Linked DNA regions of Arabidopsis thaliana. The protein of the gene in region 2 interacts with the protein of the main gene of each other region in a pairwise test. Each region holds a gene or a part of one and is shown on either strand. Other genes may lie near its edges.

What was found.
Region 1: the proteins of AT3G24860 (region 2) and KLCR1 interact in a two-hybrid assay, tested with the Arabidopsis thaliana proteins (one large-scale study listed by BioGRID).
Region 3: the proteins of AT3G24860 (region 2) and AT1G51200 interact in a two-hybrid assay, tested with the Arabidopsis thaliana proteins (one large-scale study listed by BioGRID).

What each region holds. Positions count from the first base shown.
Region 1 is NC_003075.7:6,653,737-6,660,236, reverse strand, and holds KLCR1 (Tetratricopeptide repeat (TPR)-like superfamily protein), read right to left. Parts: upstream 3,864-6,500; 5' UTR 3,624-3,863; coding exon 2,938-3,623; intron 2,831-2,937; coding exon 2,217-2,830; intron 1,831-2,216; coding exon 1,539-1,830; coding exon of another isoform or gene 1,535-1,538; exon of another isoform or gene 1,442-1,534; coding exon 1,204-1,441; 3' UTR 972-1,203; downstream 1-971.
Region 2 is NC_003074.8:9,071,388-9,076,081, forward strand, and holds AT3G24860 (Homeodomain-like superfamily protein), read left to right. Parts: upstream 1-2,235; 5' UTR 2,236-2,254; coding exon 2,255-3,187; 3' UTR 3,188-3,295; downstream 3,296-4,694. Other genes in the region: AT3G24850 (B3 domain protein (DUF313)), read left to right, coding at 1-797; AT3G24870 (Helicase/SANT-associated, DNA binding protein), read right to left, coding at 3,850-4,694.
Region 3 is NC_003070.9:18,982,145-18,988,005, reverse strand, and holds AT1G51200 (A20/AN1-like zinc finger family protein), read right to left. Parts: upstream 3,726-5,861; 5' UTR 3,452-3,725; exon of another isoform or gene 3,283-3,451; 5' UTR 3,250-3,282; intron 2,319-3,249; 5' UTR 2,317-2,318; coding exon 1,795-2,316; 3' UTR 1,372-1,794; downstream 1-1,371. Other genes in the region: AT1G51210 (UDP-Glycosyltransferase superfamily protein), read right to left, coding at 1-197. UniProt on the Arabidopsis thaliana protein: May be involved in environmental stress response.

The DNA.
Region 1 (6,500 bases), on a different chromosome or scaffold from region 2:
AAAAGTTGCAATAAAGAGAAACAACAATTGAAAAATAACCCTAAATATTTTTACTGTGATAAAAAGACGCTAATAGAAAAATTAACTATATTTCAAAAAGTTATGATGAAAAGACACGAATGTAAAAAAATAACCATCGATATTTTAACAGACACAATTTACGATAAAAATACAATTTTACGAAAAGTTGCGATAAAAAGACACTAATGAAAAAAAGGACCGTCAATATTAACCAAAAATAAAGATAAAAAGACACGAATGTAAAAAAAAAAAAACCGTAAATATTCTAATCGACACAACTGTTTACGATAAAAAGATATGAATGAAAAAAAAGTAACCGTCAATATTTTAACAAACACAACTGTTTACGATGAAAATCAGTTTTACGAGAAGTTGCGATAAAAAGACATTAACGAAAAAAATAACTTTCAATGTTAACCAAAAGTTACGATAAAAATATACGAATGTAAAAAAAGTAACCGTCAATCTTTTAACAGACAACTATTTATGATGAAAAGACACGAATGTAGAAAGTAACTGTTAATATTTTAATAGACACAACTGTTTATGATGAAAAGACACGGTTGTAAAAAAAATAATCGTCAATATTTTAACAGACACAACTGTTTATGATGAAAAAATACGAATGTAATAAAGTAACCATCAATATTTTAACAGACACAACTGTTTATGATTAAAAAAATACGAATGTAATAAAGTAACCATCAATATTTTAACAGACACAACTGTTTTCGATGAAAAGACACGATTGTAAAAAAATACCCCCAATATTTTAACAGATACAACTGTTTACGATAAAAAGACAAGACATGAATGCACAAAATATTAAAGGATACATCCAATAAATAGTTTTCAAAATGCATTTAGTGATAGATTTTATCACATTTTAGTATTTTACTTCATATTTGTACAAAATATCACGTAGAACAAACATTCACGAGAAAATATAATTATCAGAAGAAGAAAAAAGTGATTGAATTAAAGAAATTTCAAACTCAAACAAACAGCTCACCATCTTGGCAGTATTTCACCAAACTCAAATAAAAACACTATACATGAAATTAATTCATCAACCTCAGATTATGATACAGAAAATAGATCAGATAAAAAATATAACAATAACAATAAAATAAAATATTGAATATATATGTGGATGATTTATTTTATATGATAATTTTTTCCTCAGAACTTGAAACCGAGGCTGGGCCATTTCTTAGCAGAAGACTCTTTCTTCGGAGGTCTTGCATTTGGATCAATCAGATTCTGGAGCGACTTGGCTTTGTAGTTCCGCGACCGCCCAGCTTCCTTCAAAAGCTCGGCCAAACGTTTCTTCTCGTCTTCAAAATCCGGATTCGCAGTCCCGAGCTTTTCCTCTCTCAGCTTCAGAACCTGCTCTAATATCTCAATCGCATCCTCTATCCTGCAAATTACATAGCCATCACGAAGAAAGACTTTAATGTTTCATTAAGGATGTCTGATCTAATTACATAGTCAGATAGTTTTCTTTAGGACTTTACCTTCCCATAGCGTCATAGGTAGCAGCTAGATTGCTATAAACACCGAGAGTGTCCTGATCGCACGGTCCACGTTCTTGTTCAAGAATACCTCTTGCTTCTTCAAACAGCTCACCCGCTTCATCAATCTTGAAAAGCTGAACGCAGGCTAGTCCCATCTGGTTTAATACAACACCGAAGAAGGCAGATTTCTCACCTGCTGCCCGTAGCTTTGTCACAGCGCTCTCAAACGCGTTTCTTGCGTCCTCGTACCTCCCCACTGTGTAATACATAACTCCCATCCGTGCCTCTAACCCTGCAAATATTTACATACAAAGCAAAACAGATGTAAAGGAAGCTTGACGAGAAGATTGACAATGTCATGCTAAAGACTCGAATTCTTGTACGATCACAATCTACTTCCCTAAAAATACCTCAGATAAGTAATTAGATCTCTTATTTCTAGAATTCTTCGACAATATCACTAACACACAATTACAAATTAGCGTATTGGCTAACTCTAAAACCGGTAGATTCAGAGCAGCAAAACGAGTAAAGTTACTATAAGCGACTTTTCCTTACATGATTAACAATACAAAAATCAGTACTTTACATACAATTCGAGACCAAAATCGCACAATTTCAATACACTGCATAGCAATCCAGCTAAAGGAACATTCATGGTATGGACAAAAAATTTACCTGCAATGGCGCTCTGCTGTCCTGGCTTATCCTCAAGCAATTTCATAGACTTCTGAAGTAGCTTCAATGCTTCCTCAGGTTCATCTACAGACTCATAAATAGCAGAAATCTCAGTTAATCCACCAGCAATCTCCTCCACAGTTGTCCCAGGCACCGGCTTATTGTATATCCTCAACGCATTCTCACAGTAAGACTTAGACTCACGAAGTTTCCCTGTTCTATGGTAAAGCTCAGCCAATCTAACAAACACTGACGCAACCGTCGGATGAGTCTCTCCTTTAGAAGCCTTAAACACAGTAAGAGCCTTCTGATATGAAAACACAGCTTCATCAAACCGGCACAGCGACATGTAAATATTCCCAATACTAACATCAATCGATGCAACCTCAGATTCTTGTCCACTCGCAATCATAGCCATACTAGCAAGAACAAGATGCTCAAGAGCGTTTTCATAATCTCCTTTAGCCTCGCAGATAATTGCCATCAATCTCCTATCAGCTGCTTCCTCCAGTGAAGCAGGTTCACTATGCGCTCGGTGAATCTCTAGAGTCTTCTTGCATAACTCTTCCGCTTTATTGAACTGCATTGCTTGAACATATGCTTCTGCTAAGTACCTGAAAATTATCAGAGACTTCAGAAACTTAGATCTAACCTATATAGTAACTTTTAGCAAACGTAATCTAAGAGTTTAATTAACCATTAAATGCTTAGTTAAGAGAACCTGCAAGTTTCACCAACTCGTGGATCAGTATCACCCAAAGTCTGGATCTGGATCTTAAGACCTTCTTCATAACAAGCAATAGATCTATCAATCTGACCAAGCATAGACAACGTATCACCAAGTTGCATATGACCAGAAAACGCAGCGAGAGAGTGGTCAGGGCCACGAGTCGGATCAGGGACTTGAATAGCTCGTTCAAGAGGTGGTACAGCTTCATCAAATCGGCCGAGACTACAGTAAATAGCAGCGAGAACATGAAGGCTCATAGCGAGATCAAGAACAGGTCCACCATCGCTACCACCGGGAATAGGCGGAGCAACGGCGGCGCAACATCTCTCAAAGGACTTAGTTGCTCGGATCGCGTAATCTAATGCTTTGTTAGGACCTTCACCAGAAGCAATAGCGTCACGAGCTAATTTTAGAAGGAAAGGACCGAGATCTGGATTATCTAGAGATGGATCGTCGACGTCGATTACGGCTGCGGTGGAGGAGGATACGGTTGGGGAATCTTTTTTGCCGGTGGATCTATTTGGTGATGGTTTGGATCGAGATGGTGTAGAGGAAGGGGTTTTCTTCATCGGAGTTCGCGGCGGGTTTGAGAGAGGTTGCGTGTCTGGTACGGCTACACGTAGCGGCGGTGTATCGGAAGGAGTTTTGACTGAGACGAGACCTGGCATTGCTGGCATGAATGTGTCTCTCTGTGGGAAGTGGGAGAGAGAGAGAGAGTTATGGCGGATTTGGTTTTGGATCGGACTTTTGAGATCCAAGTGGAGAAGGAGACGAGTCAGTCAGTGAAAGAGGTAAGGGTAGTTTCGTAATTAAGTTTTAGATTGGAGGAGATAACGGTCATGTTGTGTTGGAAAATATTGGTGATAGATTATTAAATAAAAAAACTTTTCTTACACACAAAAAAAACAAACTAAAATAGATTTTGTACTTAGTGACGACAAGTGATAGATAGATTTTACAAGATAGATAAGTTTGCATGACAAGATTTGTACTGTTCTGAATCAGAATTTCTGATGAATTGTTCTCAATCTAAAATTTTATGAACTCACAAATTTAGATAGTAAATTAAATTAGAGAAGAGAGTTAAAAAAAGTAATGCAATCTAAGTTTTCATTTTACAATAAATTGAATATAAATCTTTTTTATGATGTGTATATTGAAATGGAGATAGTTGAGCATTTATCCACTTTTTACCATATGGTTTATGGTTTCAGTATTTAGAATGTAGGTTTTTTTTTTTTCTTTTTTTCCAACAAACAGAATTTATTTATATGAGTAAATCTTTACAAAGAGAGTTTTTGAGCCAAAGTGGCTGATAACCAGAATTCGATTGAAACTTGTAACACGAATAAAGTGGAGAAGCTAAGAGGTGAGCAGTATTATTACAGAGTCTATTTGTGAAAGTGAAAACCACAGTAGAAAATCTTGATGCCCAAAAATCCACATCTCGGAGAAGACTGGTTATTTCACATCTAGAAATTGCACCATTAATTGCCTTGATAAGGATCTCACAATCACCTTCGAACTGAACACACTTATACCCTCGTACCCATGCTTGTTGCATTGCGATTAATAACGCTTTTGTCTCAGCTTCCAAAGCAGTGGTACCATTTTAGACTATTGATGATCCCCAAGCCTTCGCTAATCCTGCATGATCACGTATGATCCACCCTCCCGTACTCTGAGTATTATTACCCGTGAAACCCGCATCGAAGTTGCACTTTACTAAAGGAAAGACCGGTTTCTTCCACCGCACGTTTGCCCTGTGTGATGATCGTGTTAAAACGGAAGCGTCCTCTCTTCGGTTCACACTTTGTAACCATTCATTGACTTCTGCTTCAGTTTGTGTCACAACCCTTGAGCAACTTTCACTGAACTTATTAAACACAAGATTATTGCGTGCTTTCCATAATCTCCATATGAGCCAAAATGGGGCCAACCTTTGCTCTGTATTCAGAGTATTGTTTGAAAAAGAATTGATAAGGAAAGAAATATTCTCCTCTGTGTCTTGAGAGAAAGTATGACCCGGTAACCAAGGGAAGTTTGATAGACCCCAAATTGACGCAGCATAAGGACACGTAAATAAAACATGGTTTATCGTCTCTTCTTCAGTTGGGCATCTGGGGCAGTGTGGATCGATGTCCATTCCTCGAGTGAGAAGTCGCGAGCGTGTTGGTAATGCTTTTGAGATTGTACGCCAAAGCATGTACTTGATTTTTGGAATAATAGGGAGTTTCCAAAGCTTGTTCTTAATTTCCACTGAACCATGAGGCACCACTGGTCTAACCTAAATATTCGTTGGGTCATTAAAGAGAAACCAGTACCCGGACTTAACTGTATAATCCCCAGAAGAAGAGTAGTTCCAAACTAGCTTATCTTGATGCACAATCCTGGAAAGATGATGGTTCATAACAAAACGGTGGTCGTCGGGACTAACAAGCTGAGAAATGAGATGTGCGTTCCAATACCTATACGAACCCTGAGTTGAGATTAACGTATCCACCGTGATATCCAACGTAGGAGTGACGACGTTGAGAGGTCGTGGAGGGTGCGATGCAATAAAATTATCTTGACTGATTCAAACGGTTTTGCCATCTCCGACAATGAATCTGCTTCCTTTTTTAATTACATCTAAACCCGCAAGCATAGAAGTCCATCCGTAAGATTGATATCTCTGCCTTTTAGCGTCCAGAATAGAGTCTTCTCTAAAGTATCTTGCTTTCATTATTCGGGCAAATAAAGAATTTGGGTTGTTAATCATCCGCCATACTTGTTTTGCAAGTAAAGCGTCATTGAATTTAGCCAAATCTCTAAACCCTAAACCACCTTCCTTTTTCGAGTATTGTAATCTCTTCCAAGCTATCCATGGTATTTCTCTTTTTTTTGCATTCTTTTCCCACCAGAAATTCATTAAAAGAGCTTCAATCTCCGAAACGATATTCAATGGTAATTTGAAGCAAGACATTGCATACACCGGCATCGACATCGCCACTGATTTTAACATAATTTCTTTTCCTGCCGGTGATAAATATTTCGCACTCCAACTGGATGTTCGTTTCTTTACTCTTTCAATGATATAGTTGAACATGTCTCGTTTTTTCCGCCCAAATTGCTCCGGGAGCCCAAGATATTTCCCACCTCCACCATGACTTTGTATACCAAGAATGTTTTTGAGACGATTTTGAGTGGTGCCATGTACTCGTGAACCAAACGTTATCATTGATTTGGACATATTAATTTTTTGGCCCGAATAGTACTCATAAACATCAAAGACATCCTTTAAAGCTTGGCAGTTTCGGACATTAGATTGGCAGAAAAAAAGAGAGTCATCCGCAAATTGTAGATGAGTAACACCAGGAACACCATTACCAATTCGGATACCTCGAATATCCCCTTCCGCTACTCTGTTTTTAATAAGATGGTTGAGTATATCAGCACATAGAATGAAGAGATATGGAGATAAGGGATCTCCTTGTCTTATTCCACGTTGTGGTTGAATTGTGCCATGAGGTATGCCATTCACTAAAACTGAGTAGTTGACTGATTTCACTGCT
Region 2 (4,694 bases):
TCGAAGACCCACAAACCTCTGATTCCCAGATGAAAACCCTACAAAACTCTAGTTCTGAACCTTGCACTTCACTCGTACTCTTTGATTACAAAACGGCTGAGTCCGAGAAGATGGAGGCGAAAACCCTACAAAACCCTAGTTCTGAACTTTGTTCATCACTCGTACTCTCTGATTACAAGATGGCTGAGTCGGAAAAGATGGAGACGAAAGACCCACCAAACCCTCTGTCTTTGTGCCTAACGGGGAACACAAGCCGCAAGAGACGTGCTGTGGAAGAGAGGAAACGTACCGGTGGATTCAAGAAGGCAAAGGTTGCTCCTTTTCCAGGGACAGCGAGAGATACGCCTAAGTGGCTTGTCAAGGTGATGAGAGACATGAAAGAAGCCAAAGATGCTAAACTGATCTTTGAGAAGACTCTGTTTGTGACTGATATAAACCCAACACAGAACCGTCTCTCAATGCCGTTCAACAACTTACTCCAAAACGATTTCTTGACGTCTGTGGAGTCCAGAATCATAAAGGAAGACATCAACAACAATAAGAAGATTGGAGTGGGAGCGATTCTCGTGGATCAACGGTCTGTAAAGTGGGGTGTGATGTTGAAAAGATGGGAGCTGAAGAAGGAATCAGGAAAAGGAAGCTGGAACTACAATCTGATTTGTGGGTGGAACGATGTCGTTGAGGCTAACGGATTGAAAGAAGGCGACAACATTAGTGTTTGGTCGTTCAGGTGTCGTGGAGTCCTTTGCTTTGCCATGGAACAGAGTAGCTCTTCTCTTGCTCTCTGTCTCTGCTAAGTATCTTATGTCTGTTGTGAGTCTTGTGACTATAACTTGGTTGATTAACACGCACAGTGATTTTCAGGAGATTCTGAAGATTCTTTTGTCTAGTAATTTCTTGAAAGAGTTAAACTAAAGAAACTTGGGTTCCTCTTTCTTCTTAGTAACTTGTTCCTTCTATTGTTTCAGATCATTATAATCGTATGTACTTAGCACTTTTGACATGAATCTGGTTTGTTGTTTGGTCTACTTTAGTTACCTTTCGATTTCTTGTAATATATCTCAAAGTCTAATTTTGTGTGATGACATTGATCCAATTGTGAAAAGGTTACATGTTATGGTACATTCATGAGAAATGCTCAATACAATCAAAACCAGGGTTGTTTTCTACTAAGTGACAGGTTTCTACTAAATGATCAAATCAGGAACAAAATTTGTTGCCAATGACAGGTTTTGCTACAATTGCTTCCTTCTGCCACTTGAATAAGTACGACGTCCTTTAACACAGGGAATGCATTCGTGCTGGCCAAGACACTGCAGAAACTTCCAAGCTGAAACCTGATTATATTTGAATCTCATATCCGAAGTCTGCATTGCTACTATTACTTCACCCTCAAACCATATATATTACATGTGAGAGACATCACGCTCATCTCTTGTCATATTCCAACTAAATTTTTTGTTCGTTTTGCTCACTTAGCAGCCGTTGATGGAAGAAGGAGGAAATTGCAGTGAAGAGGATGAGAAACGATTAGAGAGAAAATGAGAGGAGGATCTCATCAACGCAGGTTTGCCTAGGCACAACTTGGAAGGCTGGTTGAAAAACAGAGATAACTGCAGTAGTGGCTGACCACATAAGCTGTTTTGCTGTTTGCAGCAAAAGCAAGACCATCTTTATCGAAGCCTCCAGGGAATTTTTCGTCGCGGGAAGAACACAATCCTTTCTAGATGATCTGATACAGAATAACAAAAAAACATATGGTGAAGTGATTAGATCGACTTTAGCTAAGACTATCTGAATATAAACCCAGTAAACATATTTGGGCTTTCTCTCGGGTATAAACTTGCTCACCAAATATGCTGAAGTGATTGATTGTTTCGAAGAATGCTAAGGCATCACCTCAAACTCTTGGTTTGTTTCATGGAGAAAAGTTGCTTCTCCTTGTTCTACTTGTCAGTTGTTAGGAAGAATTAGTCAATTTCTCTTCAATGAATCCCTACAAGTTAGACTATTGTGTTGAATAAGTAAAGGAGTTCTGCATGAGTTTATCTCTTTTGTTCCTCCGATACTTTTTACTTCCTCTGAGTAAAAAAAGAGAAGTAAATTTTTACTTCCTCTAAGTGGGTTGGTCTAGTAAATTTTTGTTGGGCCCAAAATTTAAAAAATCAACAAGAAGACAAAAAAAGCCCAAAGATCCGAGTTGGAGTTAAACTGACAAAATCCGAAGCACCAATTAACATTGTTACACTAAACCATGGCGACGCCTTCGCCGACCTCCTCTCCTCCCTCTGATTCAAACCCTAATTCTGCCGCTACTCCGCCGCATCAGAAACAACCACCCTCTCCTCCTCAACCCACGAATCCATCCTCTCCACCACCGCACACCACCGTCGTAGCTTTAGCCGCATCAACCTCCGCCGTCGCCAGAAAAACCCAACCTGTTCTCTGGACTCAAGACGAGACCCTCCTCTTAATCGAATCATACAAAGAGAAATGGTTCGCAATTGGTCGTGGTCCTCTAAAATCAACTCACTGGGAAGAGATCGCCGTTGCTGCCTCATCTCGTTCCGGCGTTGAACGGACATCTACACAGTGTAGGCATAAGATCGAGAAGATGCGTAAAAGATTCCGATCTGAGAGACAGAGTATGGGACCTATCTCAATTTGGCCTTTCTATAATCAAATGGAGGAATTGGATTCTTCAAATCCTGCTCCGATCTCAGCTCGTCCTCTCACTCGTCTTCCTCCTAATTCGAATAATCGCTACGTAGACGACGAAGAAGAAGATGAAGAAGAGGATAACAATAACTACGAAGAAGAGGAAGAAGAAGATGAGAGACAGAGCAAATCGAGGAGTATTAATTACATATTGAGAAGACCTGGAACTGTTAACAGATTTGCTGGAGTTGGTGGAGGATTGTTGTCATGGGGACAAAAAGAGAGATCATCGAAGAGGAAGAGGAACGATGGAGACGGTGGTGAGAGGCGGAGGAAAGGAATGCGAGCCGTTGCAGCGGAGATTAGGGCGTTTGCTGAGAGAGTAATGGTAATGGAGAAGAAGAAGATTGAGTTTGCTAAAGAGACTGTGAGACTTCGTAAGGAAATGGAGATTCGTAGAATCAATTTGATTCAGAGTTCTCAAACTCAGCTTCTTCAATTTATCAACAATGCTTTTGATTCTTTCTAACGTAGAGATTTAGTCATTGTTGCTTTTAGATTTGTAACATAGGTAACGGATTTGAAGAAATGCACTATGTAAGCTAATGTTTATGGGAGTGAAGTGAACTTTTTTTTTAACCATAAAAGAACAATGATACATTCATCAAATTAACCTAAACCTACAAGAGAATAAGTTAGAGGAAAAGGTTAAAAAAGGGCCCTAAGTATATGCCACAAGGATGGAGGAGTAGAGACTTCTATACAAAACATTATAAACTGTTTCTACTCTCTCCCAAACCAAAAGATGGGAAGAAGAAGAGACTACTTCTCTATGATGCAAGTGGGTAATTTACATTATGATATACCTTCTTCTCTTTGTGTTCATCAAAAGAGGCAAAAAGACCTGCATGAATTTTATCCTATCCACCAACTTCTTCCCTATTGATCTCCCTCTGGCCTTACCAAATCTGCAAACTCCACAATCTGTAGAGTTTGTTATGTTATACTCTCAGCCAAATCCAAAGACCACCAGCAGCTTCAAGATGTTAATGCCAAAAAGAGACCCGACTCTGAAGGTGGAGGACACAAACCAGTTTGGGTTCCTGTACAGGGTTGTTGTCGGTAAGGGCCAGCGTTAAGCTTTGCAGGATCTACAGCTACTCAAGGTTCTAGGTTCATCTGTCATGCCTCTCATTCCACTTTTGTATCAGGAGGCTTGGAAGATGATAATTCTTGTGCTTCTTCTAAATGAGGCTGCTCCTCAGAAGCAAGGTGTTTCTGATTTTGTACAGTCGGCTTCTCTGGCAATTTCGGTCTCTTTTCTTCTGAAGGTAGAGACTGTTGTTGTCTCTGTGTAACGCCCTTGATCCCGTGCTTTTGAGCTAGTCCTTGGTTCGGTGTTGATACTGGATCATTTCCTGCTGAATCTGTATTGGAATTGTTTACTACTTTCGAAGCAGTGCTTTGCACAGAAGCAACACAAGATGGAGGTTCCAAAGCAGGCACCGCAGTAGAACCAACTGCTTTTATGTTTTTCAAATCATTACTCGCTTGAGGCATACCCTTGGTCGTACCCATACTAGCAGTTTGGGTGGTATTGGTTACAGACTGTGGAACACGTGGCATACATTCAGCTTGGGACTTCTTTGATAACTCAGAGTTCCCTAGATGATTATGTTGAACAACTCTCTGAGCTGTTGATTGCACTTGATTGCGCTGCTTTTGGTGTATCAACAAATGCTGATGGTTAGAAGGTGCAACCGCTGGTGCAATTGACAGGCTAGAGGTGGATAAAATATTACATGGGGTCGCAGGTGAGCTCTGGCCTTGGATGCTATTGTCTGAATGTAATTGCATCTGTTGTTGAGGGGATGGAGACAAAGCACCAGGGAATGATTTTGGCAGTTGCTGTGAATGATTTGAAGACAAGGGAGAAACAAATGGTTTAGACTGCAGATCCGTGCTCGTGGTAGTCCCCACACTAGACTGCTGATCAGGCCTAACTGAAACCGCTATCTCTCCTTTTTCGGTAGCTT
Region 3 (5,861 bases), on a different chromosome or scaffold from region 2:
GAGAGAAGAGGAGAGAGGTAAGGAAGGTTTTTAGGAGTGACGATGATGGAGACTGTGAGGCCACGAAGACAGAGTTGATGGGTTAAGTCGAGAAGAGGAAGCAAGTGGCCTTGTGCTGGATATGGAAACACCATGATGTGAGGTTTTAAACTGCCACGTATAGTTTCCGGTCGCGGCTGCGGCATTGCTCTGTTCATTTCTCGGTTGTTGTTTACGCTCGGTGGTGATATTATAGAATGATGTGTGTGTTAATGTACGATGATATGTGCATTGGCATTTTATATGTCTAGATTTTTTGTTGACCAAAAAAAAAACACGAGTCTAATTTTTTTTATCTTTTTTTGAAGTGTGTTATATACTTAAATTGATGAGATTATGTATGCCATGTGTATAGTTTCAATTTGGATCCAAAACGCGAAAAAAATATCAAGTTAGTTGTATCCTCTAAAGTCTAAACTAAATAGAAAGAAATCTACGTAAAACTAGAAACAAAAATTAAATGCAAAATAATGATTCATGAGAGTTGATTTTCATCTATATTTAACAATGACATTTTGTTCTAATTAAAAAAGAAATAATAATTGGTAAGTTTAATAATATATTATTTAGATATTCTATATATTTTAATTAATTTGAAGAAAAACTTCAATTAGAAAAAGTAAAAATATATGGAAAATCATAAAATTTCTTGTATTTATATTTGATGATGAGATCAAACAAAAGTAAAGAAAAAATAGTAAATTTTATTGTTAATTATTACTATTATTTTGTTATTATTTATTATTATTTTAATTTTTGTTTTTGTTGTTCTTTAACAAAACAAAAAAAAATATTGTTTGGTATTTTGGTGAAATCAAACAAAACTGAAAGCGGAATAAGTACGTAGAAGATGCGGTGCTGGGGTTTATGAGGAAAACGAACGTACGCTTGATTGTTTGCCAAATCTTGCGGTTGAGATAGTTACATGTGTCTCTAGTGAAATGGTTGCGGTTGAGAAGGAGTTGCGGTGAAGCAAAAGCGCATCAGTTATCACTATCAGTGATGACTCATCAAAAAACCGGTAAAATCAGATAAAACGCCGTTTGTTGTGTAGGCAATGAACCAAACAGTTCCAAACATTTTTATACGATGTCCTCAGGAACTAGTATATAGTATGGTGACGTTTAAAGCAACTCCTACGATGCCGTTTAGAGCAAGTTGATACGATGCTTACGCAACTTGATACGACGTCGGTTTTTCACATAGGACATGTTGTAAAGCAAGTGAGGACGACACCCTTTGGAGCTTTTGTCTCCTTACGATCATCTCCTTCTTCTATGGTTATGGGCGTTCGTACTCAGAACAGGAAAAAGCGAGCTCTTCAGTGTTTATCGACCCATATATACACATATATAGTAAGCTCATGACTTTGCAAAGTTACATAACTCACCAACCAGAGAAATTGAAAGGAATCACTGATTGAAGGACAAACACAGGCCTTTTTAAATAAGCTTCATGTAGCTACAGAGACAATCTCAATATGATACAGACCAAACAGGAAACAATAACACAGTGCTCAAAAATAGTAGAAAGATAAACACACAAAGCATTTTTTTTAAGAGCACGTTTCTCTGCTTGCAAACACAGATAATAGAAAGTTCCACACCACAGAGAGATGGAAGACGCTAAAGATCAAGCACGCTTTCATTCGACCTTATATAAAACCTTTTTAACATGAGAATACTTGAACCAGACACAGACAGGAGAAGGAAACACCAGGCCACCTGATGAAACCAGAGAAGTTTACTTAGATTTTCAGATTTTGTCAAGCTTCTCTGCTTTCACAACCGGGTTTGCCTTAGCTATCGCCTCTTGCGCAGCAGCATGGTAATTGAAGGAGCAGTCATGTACGTCTGCATAGCGGTGTGTTCCGCAGAAGAGGCTCCCACAGCGACATTTGAATCCAGTCAGGCCAACCCGCTTATTGCAAGTAGTACATCGGCTTGGTCCCTTTGGTTTCGCAGCTTCTTCTGGTGCTACTACCTCTGCAACGACTTGGACAGAGGATGGCTGTACAGAAACAGTCATCGGCTCAACGGATTTGGTTTCAATATCGACCAACGCAGCGGTAAAGGTTTCCTTTATGATGTTGCTGGATGACGATGTTCCAGACACTGCAGATGCAAACTTAGCGCCCTGCTCCTGTTGGAACAACATATCCTTGTGACACTTAGAACACATGTTCATTGTGGCAGCGCTTCCAAAGAAACCGCAGTTGTTAGTACATAGCTTGGGACCTTCAGGTGGGCTTTGGCATCCTGTCTTGTCGTGGTCCATTTCTACATTTAAAATCAGCCATCTTCAGTCTCAGTGACATGGAAAAATAAAACAAAAATTCGCAGAAGATTCACGATGATGAGTACATTTAAACCCAATCAGTATCATCAGTTGCCTTAGAAAATCAGTGCAAAACATACACATGAAAATAAGCAGATGAACAATTCTTTTCATGAAATAACTTATCTGGATACCTTACACATGATCTTCATAGTTTATAACCACACTACCTATAAGCACCTTCCTATAATTCAGGATCTTTAACTAAATAGAAAGAAGAGAACAAAAGCAAGCCTAGAGCCATTTCTCTGCTAACTCTAGAACCTGAAACAGACAAACAAATCTTGCTGACCTGTTTTCTAACAATAAGCTACCCAACCAAACAGAAGTGTCTAGGTTACCTAGCACCTAGTACCACATTCATTAGGCAAATTAGAATCATAAATGAATCATTTTAAAAACATTAGAGCAGCTAATCTTATTTCTATCCAACACTACTTAGAAATTAGCCTCTTATATCAGCGTAAAGCTATAAACTTTCAAAGCAATTCATTTCAAGCTTCTAAAACATGCAAAACTCACATACTAATCTAATTTCCATCTAACACTACCTTTCTTAGGTTACAACTTTTCATAGCAATTCATTTCAAAATTCAAAAGCATACAAAACCCACATAGCTAATATCACTCATATCCAACACTACCTCTCTCCACAGAAATGAAAATTTTCAAAACTTAGCCTTTTAAATCAACAAAAACAAGAGTTACAACTTTTCACATCAATTCATTCAAATTTCCAAACACACACAAAACCCACATGCAAATATAACCAAACAATCAAATCATTAAACAATCGAGAACCATAAAAAAGAATTCACATCAACAGCTTACAAATGAACCCTAAATAAAACCAAATCCCAAAAGCTAATTCACCTGTTTGCCCTTGAAGCCTTGATAGATCGGTCCCTAATCAATAAAAAAGAGACAAAAACAGAACACATAAGTTGACCGAACAAAGGCCTCCCACACAAAGGAGGAATCGAATCGAAATGGAAATGAAATTAGAAAACAAAATCGAGACCCAGAAAAGATTATAAAGGTGAAAGCAAAATAGAGAAGAAGAGAAACCCTTTACCCTACGAATCTCTCCGAACAAGATCGTGTCTGCTGGAGAGATCCAGCAGAAGCTGAGAGGTAGAGGAGAGAAAGAAAGAAAAAAGGTCGGCTTTTTAGGCTTTTTTTTGGTTTGTCTCGACGATTTTTTTTGTAGCGACGTTTATATTTTCGTTTCACACCGTTTGTGCTAGAGTCGGCTATGACGTGTACGTATCTTATTGGCTCTGCTTTTGATTTTTTTACTCATTTCAAATTTCAATTCATTTTACTTTTTTGAAAAAAAGAGTTAAGGCTTCCAAATGTTAACTCGCTTTTTTGAAACGGAATTAGACACTACATTTTTCAAGAACAATTAGTTAATTACCAATAGTTTGAAAATGATATTAAGCTTTTTGGTTAATATCTAGAATATAATATATTCTTTTTCCAGTTTTATTATGGTTATTGTTTGACAAGTGTTTGTAAACTTCTTAATTAATAATAATCTTTTATATTTTAAAAATTTATATATTAAGAGGAGATGGGTAACATAGTTGTTGAGGGAAGAATTGGGCTTCCTCCAATTCAGGTTTTAATTGGAATAAACTCAAGGAATGGACAATGTCCAATAATAATTAAGGTAATTGGGTCTATTTTCAACTTAAAATTCGTTTGGAAGAAAACCTAATCGATGAGTTAGCGTCTATAAAAAGCCGAAACCATGTCAATAGGTCGGAAGGTAGATCCACCAATTTACTTTGACATATGTCCTATCTTGGTTCTTATAAATACAAAATAGCAAGTCTTGTCACAAGATCTACACTTTATGTTGACATAGAGAGAGTGCACTATTAGCTCGTCCTCAAACCCATCGAGCTTGTCCAATATTAGTCAGCTCGTTTTATATGTCGTTTGGTCCGCCTCTTGTTCATACTAGTCGTTTCAACAGGACAACCCTTATAATTCGTTCACTTCTCCTAAATTCGGACTCGTTTGATTAAAGAAAGATTCTTCTTACTTTTTTAGGGATTTTTATTTTCTTACTAATGTGTTTTGTGCATCATCCATAATTTCGCATATTAATTTATGTAGTATGACATATAAATTAATGTTAATAGGTGATAGTATATGTTATGAATCTAATTTTGTGCTAGAGAGATACATAGCATACAATATATATGTAACTCATAATATATAATTTCATTCCTTATGTAAACTGAGAATTAAAATCATCCATACATTGCTATTAAATTATATTTTTGTGAGATTTCTACAAATTTGAATAGAATTTTTTTGAGTAATGTAATGAAAAATTACAGATTATGTGATCATTAGTGTTATTGATAATGGATTGTGTATCAACAACCACTTATATAATTTTGGTGATAATTGCCAATTAAACAAGATTCTTTCTCGAAGAAGTATCCGACAAGAAGATCTAGCTATGTTTAGCAAATTTTAATGGATGCAAGATAACTCATAAGCAATTGTATTATATGAATAATAGATAATTCATGAAATGAAGTCAGAGTCTTGAAATAATTTTTCTCCTACCACTAAACAACTTCTTCAAAGACATATTGGAGCCACTCACATCCTACTATGAATATCTATGATCTCATTTTTCTAGATAAGAGGCTATAAATTTGACAGAGATTTAAGCAATTGTTAGACAACAAAATTATTAATAAAAGAATGGTTCTTATTAGTTCAAGTATCTACAATGGAGCATATACAATCTCATGGATCACATCTATGAGAAATATATACGGTTGTATATAGTTATAAACTATATAAAACTACAGTTTCACTTCTCTAGTTTATGTTTATTTTATTTTAAAGTCTTAGCAATCATTTTAGCAAAAAAATTATCTAACTATTTTGAGACGGTAATCATTCCAAAAATCAAGTATTTTTGTTTAAATGTCACAATACAAGAGTCTCTTTGTTCTGAAGAGTTGTATACTAAACAATTGTAAGCTGATCTAACATGCGAGTTTTATAAAGACATGTCTAAGGATAATCAAAGTATGGTTTCCTAATGTAAATAATAAGAGATATTTTTAAATTACCACTAATTATTTCTCCTACGGATGATCAACTCTTTAAAAAATATCAATTATTAACTTTACTTTCTTTCTGAAAGTCAACAACCAAGACTTTTTTTTTTGTGTGCAACTCAACAACAAAGACTATTCTTACATTATACACATAATATGTACCTGCATATCCGTGTACTTCAATTGAATCGATCAAAAATGCTAAAACTTCCCTTGTGTCTCTTAGATTTGTAAAGTCTAGTACTTGTAACATTATCATTAATTGTAAGCACTACAAAAATCAGAGAAAATACATACTTTTGGGTTTGAGCAATACTTGTATTTCACTGTCTATTCTCTAAAATCATAAGCCAAAAGCATTTTGTTTGGCTATTCAACAAGTTAAAATGC